Callithrix jacchus: one gene and its partner. The protein of the gene in region 2 binds, or shares a complex with, the protein of the main gene of each other region. Links are inferred from orthologs where the notes say so. Each region holds a gene or a part of one and is shown on either strand. Other genes may lie near its edges.

What was found. The genes of interacting proteins can lie anywhere in the genome.
Region 1: SMARCB1 (region 2) and PBRM1 share a complex: the UniProt entries of both Homo sapiens proteins name them as parts of the SWI/SNF-B (PBAF) chromatin remodeling complex. The link is inferred for Callithrix jacchus from reciprocal best matches to the Homo sapiens genes SMARCB1 and PBRM1.

The regions. Positions count from the first base shown.
Region 1 is NC_133516.1:35,226,216-35,232,320, forward strand, and holds the start of PBRM1 (protein polybromo-1), read right to left. Parts: upstream 3,940-6,105; 5' UTR 3,775-3,939; intron 3,635-3,774; exon of another isoform or gene 3,460-3,634; intron 389-3,459; exon of another isoform or gene 247-388; intron 1-246. Other genes in the region: GNL3 (guanine nucleotide-binding protein-like 3), read left to right, coding at 4,119-4,131, 4,782-4,840, 5,261-5,398, 5,512-5,625. UniProt on the Homo sapiens protein: Involved in transcriptional activation and repression of select genes by chromatin remodeling (alteration of DNA-nucleosome topology). Required for the stability of the SWI/SNF chromatin remodeling complex SWI/SNF-B (PBAF).
Region 2 is NC_133502.1:192,662,997-192,668,373, forward strand, and holds part of SMARCB1 (SWI/SNF-related matrix-associated actin-dependent regulator of chromatin subfamily B member 1), read right to left. Parts: intron 3,008-5,377; coding exon 2,817-3,007; intron 1-2,816.

The sequences.
Region 1 (6,105 bases), on a different chromosome or scaffold from region 2:
AAAAGAGAACAAAACAGAGAAGGGGGAAATAGAAAAGGGTCAGAAGGAGTAAAAACAAGTACGAATAGACAGAAAACATTCAAATAGAACTGTTAAAGGAAGATAGAGAATGGAGAAAACAGGCATATCAGTTCTCTTGTAACTTGCAAAGGCTCAGGCATTAACAGTACCTGACAGTTCTTCCATTTTAAAACCAAATGCTTTCATATGTTTAAAGATGTTTCATTGAGGTTCCTCTTTACTCACATTAGGAATGACTGTCAATTCCAGGAATGAAGCATGCCTGCCCAACTGCCCCCTAGTCAATAAGAGCAGAGTTCAATCACAGAGCTGGAATGGAGAGTGAATACATGTGGGAGGCTCACATGTGACACCAAGTGTTGGCAAGCTGGAACAAACCAAGAATGGCTCATGTGAGCAAAAGGTCTAGAAAACACCCACCCCTACAAAAAAAATTCAGAGAAAGAACATTTATTTCCAAAGTCCTAGCTGCACTGGAGATACCATATAAAAATTTGACAAGGTTTAAAAAAAAAAAGCCAACCATTTTGTCAGGAGTTCAAAATTACTTTTATAAATAATTCACTGAAAATCAAATGACAAAAGAAAACATAAATTACCACCATATGTATGTAGTTTAGATGATACAATATCCCAAAATCCGTGATTCATAAAGAAATTAAGGTAATCCCAGATACTTGAGAAAAATATTCAACTTAAGGATAATTTTTAAGTATTTTTTTAACCAAGGAATATTTTAAAATGTGTTTTGGAAGTCTGGCAAGAAGGGCAATGTTATGAAGTAGGAGAAACCACAGGACCTTTGCTCATATGACCAGAATAGGAGTCCCAAGTCTTTCACCTCTGATTATCAGCTTGATGTTGCCTGAGTGACAGCCTTTCAGATCTGTTTCTTCATCTCTAAAATGAGAACTTAATGCCAGGCATGGTGGCTCATACCTGTAATCCCAGCACTTTGGGAGGCCAAGGTCAGTGTATCACTTTGAGGCCAAGAGTTTGAGATCAGTCTAGCCAATGTGGTAAAACCCTATCTCTATTAAAAAAAAAAAAAATTAGCTGGGTAAATCCCAGCACTTTGGGAAGCTGAGACAGGTGGATTACCTGAGGTCAGGGGTTGAAGACCAGCCTGGCCAACATGGTGAAACCCTGTCTCTACAAAAAAAAAAAAAAAAAAAAATTAGCTGGGTGTGGTGGTACATGCCTGTAAACACAGCTACTCAGGAGGCTAAGGCACAAGAATCGCTTGAACCCAGGAGGCGGAGGTTGCAGTGAGCCGAGATCATACCACTGCAGTCCAGTCTGAGTGACAGAGCGAGAGACGGATTCAAACAAAAAGAATATCAAGTGTTCCTGTATCTCTCAGATCGTTGGAACAGTGAAATGATGTCCATGAAATCACTTCTGCATGTTCCCCAGGCACAGGAGCAGCATCTTGTTCATTTTTATAGCCCTGTCTTATAGAATAGTATTTAGTATAGATTAGGTGCTCAATTTATCTTTTAATTAATGTGTTAAAAGTGCACTTAGGACCAGGCACAGTGGCTCACGCCTGTAATCCCAGCAACTTAGGCCGAGGCCGGCAGATTACCTGAGGTCAGGAGTTCAAGACCAGCCTGACCAACACCGTGAGACCCCCGTCTCTACTAAAAATACAAAAAATTAGCCAGGCGAGGTAGTGCATGCCCATTAATCCCAGATACTTGAGAGCGTGAGGTGCAAGAATTGCTTGAACCCAGGAGGCAGAGGTTGCAGTGAGCAAGGATCACACCACTGCACTCCAGCCTGGGGGACAGAGTGAGACTCTGTCTCAAAAAAAAAAAAGGTGCACTTAAGTGGGACCTTTAAAAAAAGAAGTTTGTTTGTATAGTTTAAAAGGCCTGAGTCAGGCACAGGGGCTCATATCTGTAATCCCAGCACTTGGGGAGGCTGAAGCAGAAGGATCACTTAAGGCAGAGTTCAAGACCAGATTGGACAATACAGATTGACCTTGTTTCTACAAAAATAAAAATTAGCTGGGTGTGGTGCTGCACATCTGTAATCCTAGCTACTTGGGATGCCATCGTGGGAGGACTGCTTGAGTCTAGGAGTATATAAGGCTTCTGTGAGCCATGATCACTTTACTTGCATTCTAGCCTGGGCAACAAAGTGAGATCCTACCTCCAAAAAAAAAAAAAGTACTATAAGTATCGCTTTAGCAAATTTGTCTGTTTTTCCATGAAGAGGAAAGACAGATTTCAGAGTTCAATTCCAAGTTTTAAAACAGCCTTGATTATAGTCACAAGTTCAAAAATCTGACAATCAATAACTGATAGTGGACAGTTAAGAATACTTAATAATGTGCAACTGGGAGACTACTGACATTATAGACAAATGGTGTATTTTGACAGTTTATGAACTTTTAGCCCTTTCCTGTATTTCTAGAAATATTTAGCACTACAATACATGCTTAAAACAAAATCTTGGAAAACAGGACTCAAAGAAAAAAAAAAACAACTATAAACCTGTTTCAGAGAAAAAAAAACCATTCTTAATGTTGTCATTCACAATTTTTGGTATTTATCTATGCCTTAGTTACCTGTTATTATTTTACCGAAATGCTAACAAACCAAATGTATTATTCTACAGCCTGTGTTTTAACTTAATGAAGATTCTTCCAAGTCAACATTCTTCCTAATGATGTTTGATAGCTTGATACTAATCTATTATATAGCTATACCACAATGTACTTATCTTGGGAATTTTGGTAGGATATTAACATTTGAGGTATTTTGTACATTCCCAAAGCCAAAGAAAGCGGTCAAGCCCCTTCCATTCATCCACACACAAGCTCTTTATTGTTTTAATCTGAAACAACTCTTCAAAACATATTTTTCCAATCTTCCATTTTGAAGCTCAAAATTAAATATGGGCAACCTGTAAGTAATAAAGCAAAAATTACGCTACTCTTTCACGTGCACGAGTCCTATTTGCACTTTTTGAGGAAAAGCACATAGCCAAATGGGAGGAAAAAAAAAACCCTGAAATTATTTGTCGAGCGTCCTAGTGTGTCGGAAATTAAGTTAAAATGTTTTGCTCCAACACACGCTTCTATAATTGTAAGAATTTCTATATCCATTATACCGTGTACTTATTTTTCCAGATTTTTTTTCTCTGTTTTTGCAACTCTTTCTGCCCCTTTAAATTAAAACTTCTCCCTTATTATAACAAAACTGTGCTTCCCCAAACCAAGAAATACAGTTCCCAAAATCCCGGATTCTTTGCAGTGTTGAGATGAGAAGCTGAAATATCTGGCCTCTACTTATAAATACAAGTCCCATTGATCAAAATACCCGGAAAAAATAAAGAAAGAAAATCACTAAGAGTTTGTGTCGAACCGTCAAGAAACAATAACAAAAAAGCAGGCCCTGAGCAACCGAGGAAATGAAGGACTTTCCCGACCTGTCACTGGTATTGGGGACTGAGGGAAACGTTGACAGCTTTGAAGCTGCCCCGCGACGAGCGGGAAAGAGTGGCGCGGGGAGTTTCCGGGCCGTAGTACGCCTTTGTCCCTGCCGGCAGGTGCGACAGGGCTACCGTGCCCGTCCCGAGGTCCGCCGCCACGCCCCGCCCAACCCCGCGCGCCCGGCCCGACCGGCGCGTCTCCCCACGGCCGGGGCGGGGCCTCCGCCGCGGCTCCCGCCCGCCCGGGCCCACACAAAGGCCCGGCAGCTGGGCGAGGGGGAGCGGCCCCACCCGCCCAGGGCCCGGCCTTACCCAGCCGCTCCGCCGCCTGCAGCCCCGGCCGCGGTCACTGACCGCCGCGCCCCGCCCCGTGGCCGCCACGGCTGCTGCTATAGCTCCTCCGGCCGTGGCCGCTGCCGTCGCTCCGGCACCCGCCGCCCTCACCTCCCTTACCCCTCCCGGTGCCGCCGCAAAATCAGCCCCGCCGCCGCCAAGTGATCCCTGCTCCGCGCGACACTGCGTGCGCGCGCACGCAGAGAGGCGGTGACGCACTTTACGGCGGGAACGTACGTACGTGACCCTCGTCGGTGGCCTCAGTTCACACGTGGCGCCAGCGGAGGCAAGTTGTTGTCCTTGCGCCACTTTCTACAACCAACATGAAGCGGCCTAGTAAGTGGGATCAAAAGGCGGGCGTGGAGGGACCCATGTCTGGTAGTTGCTGCAGCCACTACGACACTCTTTTACGGCTTGGTCTCTGCGGGCATGGAGGTGGGAGCCTGCGCGTAGGCCTTGGCCCTGTTTTCTCGTAGAACCGATTTGGAAGGCCCTACGCCGATCCTAGGCGTGGGCTCATTCTGCAGAAGGAAGCCTGGCGGAGGGTGGGCAAGACTAGGCTAGATTTTCGGAAGGAAGCAGCGTTTAAGCTAGGTTTCAGGCCCAATATTTTTCCTTCCCTGGTCACGTGCATACCGGGCCAGGTGCACACATCGCCTCCCAGACTCTCTGTTCCTCTCTTGAATTCGTGCTGTTTTACACGAAGTGGCTGTCATTTTGGATCTCATACGCTGCTGTGTATGATCCCATTCTAATATTGTAACAGTAAGTGCAGAGAACTTGGACTCCATTCTGGATCTACTGAATCAGATTCTCTAGGATTTGAGAGTGGGCATGTATGTCTGTATTAGGCATTTCGCATTAGTCTTAACGTTAGCTTTGGCAGCCAATAACATTAAAAAAGGGTATAACTCCATAGTGCGTTCACCCAGAACTAATCATTTGCATTAACACATTTGTGATGTGATTATTTATTTTTTTTGTAGAGTTAAAGAAAGCCAGTAAACGCATGACCTGCCATAAGCGGTATAAAATCCAAAAAAAGGTAAGTGTAGTAGTTGGGAGAGCTATACCAAACACATTGCTAAACTGATTCATTTGCCCTATTCATTTGCAAAGGGAAAGTCTGGGTTAATATGATTTGGTTTCAGGAAATGGCATTGGATAGACTGATCATGGCAGCTCTTGGGCATCAGAAGTGTGGCTGTGAGAAAGAGCAGTGATTTGGTGATGAGTCTGTAAACTTGTTCAGCATGTTAATTTCCACATAGAGAGCCTTCTAATGATATTTTCTTGCTGTTTTATACTTAGGAATGCATTACTCTGTAAGATTCCAATTAAAGCCCCATTTTCCTAGGCTGTTTTATAGGCATAACTAAATTCCAGCTAGATTGGTTTCTCACTTGAATTCTGCTTAAGTATAAAGATATTTTTATAAGCAAACAAAATCTCTTTATTATTATAGGTTCGAGAACATCATCGAAAATTAAGGAAGGAGGCTAAAAAGCGGGGTCACAAGAAGCCTAGGAAAGACCCAGGAGTTCCAAACAGTGCTCCCTTTAAGGAGGCTCTTCTTAGGGAAGCTGAGCTAAGGAAACAGCAGGTAAGTTATGTTAGCCAGAACTTTCAGTGTAGTGTGTTATGTGTGATGTGTTTCAGAGTAAGGTAACAACACTAGTCACCGATTCACCTATGTCTCTTATGACTCCAACACAGCTTGAAGAACTACAACAGCAGCAGAAACTTGACAGGCAGAAAGAACTAGAAAAGAGAAGAAAACTTGAAACGAATCCTGATGTTAAGCCATCAAATGTGGAACCTATGGAAAAGGTATACTGATTAGATTTTTATGAATGAGAGATGAGGGGTTTTGATTTTGTTTTTGTTGCTTGGGCCTGACTGTAGTCACACAATGACAGCCCACTGCAACCTTGACCACCCACGCTCAAGCAGTCTTACCACCTCAGTCTCTGAGTAGCTGAGACTACAGGAGCACACAATCTAATTTTTTTTAGTAGACACAGGCTTTTGCCGTATTGGTATCAAACTCTTGAGCTCAGGTTATCCACACATCTCAGCCTCCCAAAGGCTCTGATATTACAGGTGTGGGCTGTTGGGCTTGGCCAAGATATGAGTTCTGATGAAGAAATAAAAGCGCATCAACAGGTTGCTGAACTTCTTGGGAGGAAGACAACTGAGTTCAGACTTTGTCTTACATATTTAACAACTGCAAGTGCTGCTTCTCAGCTGTAGAAAAATGGAGATACAGGTTACAACTGCTATACTTCTAATTTTGTGTCCTTTCCCCCC
Region 2 (5,377 bases):
GTGGGCATAGTGGCCTTGAGCACACGTGTCCCATGGCCAGCAGCTCGCCACTGTGCTGTGGATCCAGTGTCCCCATTGCGGAGGAGGGTATGGCAGCCAGGACTGGGCTCTGGCTGGGAGAGACGGAGGTACTGGCTTGGCTCTTGGGCAATCAAGAGTGCTTCCATTATGGGGTCACCTAGGCCTTTAGCTGAAAACCCTACTTGGGAAGTCATGTGACACAGCCGTTGCCAAGCTTTGTGCGTGGCACAGAGACCAGGCCAGGACTCCTGGTCTAGCTCTCTGTGGGCTGACTGGCCCCTGGCCCAGGGAACTGAGGCCCATCATTTCCCCAGGCAGGACTGACACTCGTCTCCCTGGGGACAGAGTTAAAAAAAAAAGTCCCTCCTAAGATCCCATGGGGTGGGGTGGTGCAGTGGAGGGAACGTGGATTGGAGTCAAGGATGAGCCAGCCCATCCCTAAGGTCCTGTCCTGTCCTGTCCTGTCCTTGCAGCTGTCTTCTAGTGCGGGGAGTGGGAAGACACACGCAGCCCTCCTAATGCTAAGAGGCCACTCAGGACACTTCCCAGGTCCCCAAGCCCCTCCCACCCGGCTGCTGTGATGGGGACATGTGCTCACCCTGGTCTCAGCAGGGTGGCCTTGCCTTCAACCTCAAAGATTTGAAAACTGCACAATCAGCATGAGAGACAACAGCGGGCAGGGTCTATGATGTCTTCAAGCTCCACAATTGGAACTCATTAGGTGGTAGCTAAGATAAAGAGGGCATCTGCCTATAAGTCCTGACCTGCCACCACCAGGGACTCCCCAAGGGACCTGCTCTGAAGCCATTCTGCAAACTGCAGAGGGCCTGGAGCTTGGCAAGGAATTTGGGCTCAGGGCACCTTCAGTTCAGAGCAGGAGGGATGGTGCTATGGTGGCTGAAGGAAAGAATGCTCTGAGGACCTGTCAAGAGGCCCTGGGGAATTCAGCTCCTGAGCCCACACTGTGGGCACTGTCTGCAGCTGCAGGGCTGGGTGAGGGTCGACACCGTCAGCGCCTGGATGCTGGGAGCTGCTAGTCTGCCACCCGCACCTTCGAGCCCAGAATGAGGGTTCCGACTGGATCGGCCTCTGGGGGAGGAGGTGCTCAGTGTCGACGTGGGCAACATCACTGTCTCCCGGGACCGCAGAGTCAACTCTCGTGGAGTGAGGCCACCCTACTGGCTCTCCGGCCACAGGGCATGGCTCCATGCAGGGTGAATGGACACTAAAGCTGTATTCCCAGGCGGCACCCAGAGGGAAGAGGGAGGTATCAGACACCAGCCCCCCAGCCGCCTCTCAGGGCTGCCCTATCTGTGAAACAGAACCATGTGATTGGCAGGGCTGCTGGGGGCAGGTCACAGGATCTCAAAACCACTGGCGCTTAGGCAGGGGCCCAGCTGTTTCTCAGGCCCAGGGCTCTTGAGCCTCGTGGGTGGCTCTCATTCCTTCTTCCTTGCTCAGATTTACAGGAAGTCACAGAAAGCTGTCTCTCGGGATGTCTGGGAAAACAAGCCAGACGCAATCCCAATAAGCCCCATTAATTGCCATGGCTTTGCAAAACAGACCTTCCTATTTGTTCCTCAGTGTAGCATTTTAAGCTGTCATCCCTACGTGGTGACTGCAGATGTGGATGATGATAGTCTGATGAGCGGACTAAATCTGAACATCCTGTTTTGATGTAGGGATACTCACTGCACCCCCAACCCAACACAGAGGACAGGGTTAGGAACCACAGGGCTTCCCAGTCCTGGAGTCCTGCTGAGCCAGGACAGCTCAGCTTTGCTTTTGTTTTGTTTTTTGAAGACTCAACCCTGTTACCCAGGCTTGAGTGCAGTGGCATGATCTTGGCTCACCGCAGCCTCGACCTACTGAGCTCAGGTGATCCCACCTCAGCCTCCTGAGTAGCTGACACTACAGGCATGCGCCAACATGCCTGGCTCATTCTGGTATTTTTTATATAGAGATGGGGTCTCACCATGTTTCCCAGGCTGGTCTTAAACTCCTGGGTTCTGGAGATCCACCTCAGCTCCCCAAAGTGCTGGGATTGCAAGTGTGAGTCACCGCAGTGGGCCTTGACCTCGCTTTTAACTCTGACTCCTACCTCCTACCAGGAACAGGAGGGCCTCCCCTGGGTCCATCCCCACCCTTGCACAGAGGACACTGGACTGGAATGTTCTGTCTGCACCTCCACCATCTCAGCCAGCCCAAATGCTACAGGCAGGGATCAAGGTGACCTGTCTCTATCTTCCAGGGCAGCCAGGATGGGGTCCAGTCCAGCATGGTACTCACCAAATGCTCTCTGACTGACCGAAGGCAGAGACACTGCAGTAAGAAGGAGCTGCTAGGGGACCCCTGACTCTCCAGAGCTGGGGCGGGCCTTTGTGTTTAAGATAGAATTCAAGTTCAACAGATGAAGAATCCTGGGCAGGGGCCATCCTGACCAAATAACAGTCTGGGCAAGAGCAGAGAGAGGGTGTGAGGCAGGATGGCTGAATGGTGGATGGCAAGGGTGGGCCCAGGGCTCCCTGGAGGTGAGGACTTGAGATTCACCCTGACAGAGCTTCAAGTCTTTGCCAGCTATTGTGTTAGGTGCTTCCAACCCTACTTGGCAGAGCAGAGTACTGGTGAGACACACAGGGTGACGGAGGACAGAGCAAACACACAGACCCCAGCAAGATGGTGCTGCAAAGCTTGAGAAAGCCTCGAAGGCGTCACCACTCACACAGACAAGTCCTTCTCAAAACACTTTTGCAGGGAGATGAGGGAGGGAAGGAGAGACTCGTGCATGATCCTACCTGAAGGCGTAGGTCTTCTGATGCCAACTCAGCTGTCCCCGGATGCTGTATGCGATGGTGGTGACAAACTCCCCACCCAACCCCAACTCCGAGCAGAGCTTCAGGGCAAACTTCTCCGGTGAGTTCTCCTTCTCTGACATGTCCCACTCAAACTGGTCCACCAGGGAAATGTTTCCCACATGGATGTTCAGCTGAGGCAACAACCAAAGGACACAAGTTAGAGCTTTCAGGACTGTCCCCAGCCCAGGGAGGCCACAAGGGTAGGGGAGCCTGCCAGACCAGGGATGTGCCCTGCCCACCAGGATCCACCAGCTGATAACTGCAGGTAGCCCTTGTCCTTCCAGTTCCTCACCCCCAAAACAGGGCTGACCCCACAGGCCTCCTGCCTGCCACAAGGGGCTCTGGCTTCAGGGCCCAGCATGGTCACCCTCGAGAGGCCCCAAAGTGGCCCCAGGAGCACCTGAGTCCCACCTTACCTTCATCCCATCCCCGCTGTGCCCCATGCTGGCGGGGACCTTCCTTTCTGCCCTTCACTCCTGCTGCCATCGGTCTTACATGACTACACTGGCCAAGCAGGGTTCAGCTAAGGCAATCCTAAGCCCTCTCTTAAGCCAAAGTCTATGCCCTTCACAGACCTTGCCCCTCTCAGAAAACCCTGCCTAGCATATTCACAGATGCACTCCACCCTGGGCCAACATGGTGAGGCAGCAGGGCAGCCTGCGGGGAGCGCAGTGCTGAGTCAGCTGCTCCCACACTCCCCAGAGGACTCCTGCGGCACATGACTCACAGCCAGAGGGCCCAGGCCCCGCATGTGCAGTCAGGGATTTTTCATAAGTGGACACCTGGGAAGCCAGCACCCAGCCAGAGAGAACAGACTGTACCCTAGGATCTCCCACCTACACCTGCCCCACTGAGGCAGCACCATCTTGACTTCGCTCCCCCTGAGTAAGTATGGCTGTTCTGAATAGGATGGACCCTGGGGTCCAGTTTCATTCCCTCTGTGTATGCCTGCAAAGCTCCTCCCATTAGAGTGTAGGGCTGGAGTCATCCCTCACTGCTGTCCAGTGCCCCACGGGGCAAGGAGGCCATGGTGCACCTTCCCATTCACTGTTGGCCCTTAGCTTTGAAGTCGAGGATCAGGGTGGGCAGTTGCATGGAGAACTCGCCACTGCCTCGGAGCCCAGCCCTTCTGAGGACTTCTGCCTCCTTTTAGAGAAATGAGGGCACCCCAATCCCCGATCATGTTCATAAAGCCCTGTGCCTCTGAGCCCTGAACACCACCACTTGCTAGAATGTTCTTCCCCTCACCTGGCAGGACCAGCCTCTTCTTAGCATCCTGGTCTAAGCCAAAGTGCCGGCTCCGGAGAACTCCCCTCTCACCAGCGCCTTTCCACACCCTTCTCTCCATTTTCTCCCCCGTTTGAAGAAAGGATCTCACTCTGTCACCCAGACTGGAGTGCAATGGCATGATCATGACTCACTAAAGCCCTGAACTCCTGGGTTCAAGAGACCCTTCCACCCCAGCCTCCTGAGTAGCTTGGACTATCATGTCCACACGCTACCATGTCCAGCTAATTTTTTTTTTTTTTTTTGGTAGAGACAAGGTTTCTGTAAGGCCCAGGCAATACATCAAGTGTTCTGCATGGAGAAAAGACCTGTGGCTGAGCCCTCTGCTCTCTGCTGCCTCTGTGTGTTGCCAGGACTGGCCTCAAAAGATCCTCCCTTGACGGTCTCCTGAGTAGTCTGGGACTATATGCTTGGGCCACCATGCATGGCCCCTCTCCTATTTTCTTCACAGCACTTAGGACTGTCTGTTTTGTTTTGATTTGAGACAGAGTCTTGCTCTGTCGCCCAGGCTGGAGCGCAGTGGTGTGATCTTGGTTCACTGTAACCTCTGCCTCCCAGGTTCAAGTGTTTTTCCTGCCTCAGCCTCCCAAGTAGCAGGGATTATACGCGTGCGCCACCATGCCCAGCTAGTTTTTTTGTATTTTTAGTAGAGACAAGGTTTCTCCATGTTGGTCAGGCTGGTCTCGAACTCCCGACCTCAAGTGATCCGCCCACCTCGGCCTCCCAAAGTGCTAAGATTACAGGCATGAGCCACCATGCCCAGCCAGTACTGTCCAAAACAATCTAAATCATTTGTCTCCAGGAATCCTAGCACAGGCAGGGTGGTATTTGTTCTGGGAATCAAGGAATCCTCACGCATAGGGAGGAAGCCAAGGGGCAGAGCTGCAGCACCCTGCACATGGCACACTGCCAGGCAATGGGGCTGCAGTCGAGCCCCCATGTCCTTTGTTGTCTCCACGTACACCCATGCCTGGTGATGAATGGAACTGGAGGCACTGGCCCTTCCAACTGGAATCTAATGCCAAGCAAACCACGTGGGTGCTGGGTTCAGAAAGAAAGCACAGCAGCCGACAGCCCACGGACACACCCACCAGGATCCCAGAGGACCATGGGCACATGGTTCCCACCCAGCAAGCCATTCCTACCCTGGGCTCATGCATGGGGTTGCCTGTCCCCTGCCATTCAGTCACTAACACATTTATTTATTCTAAAGT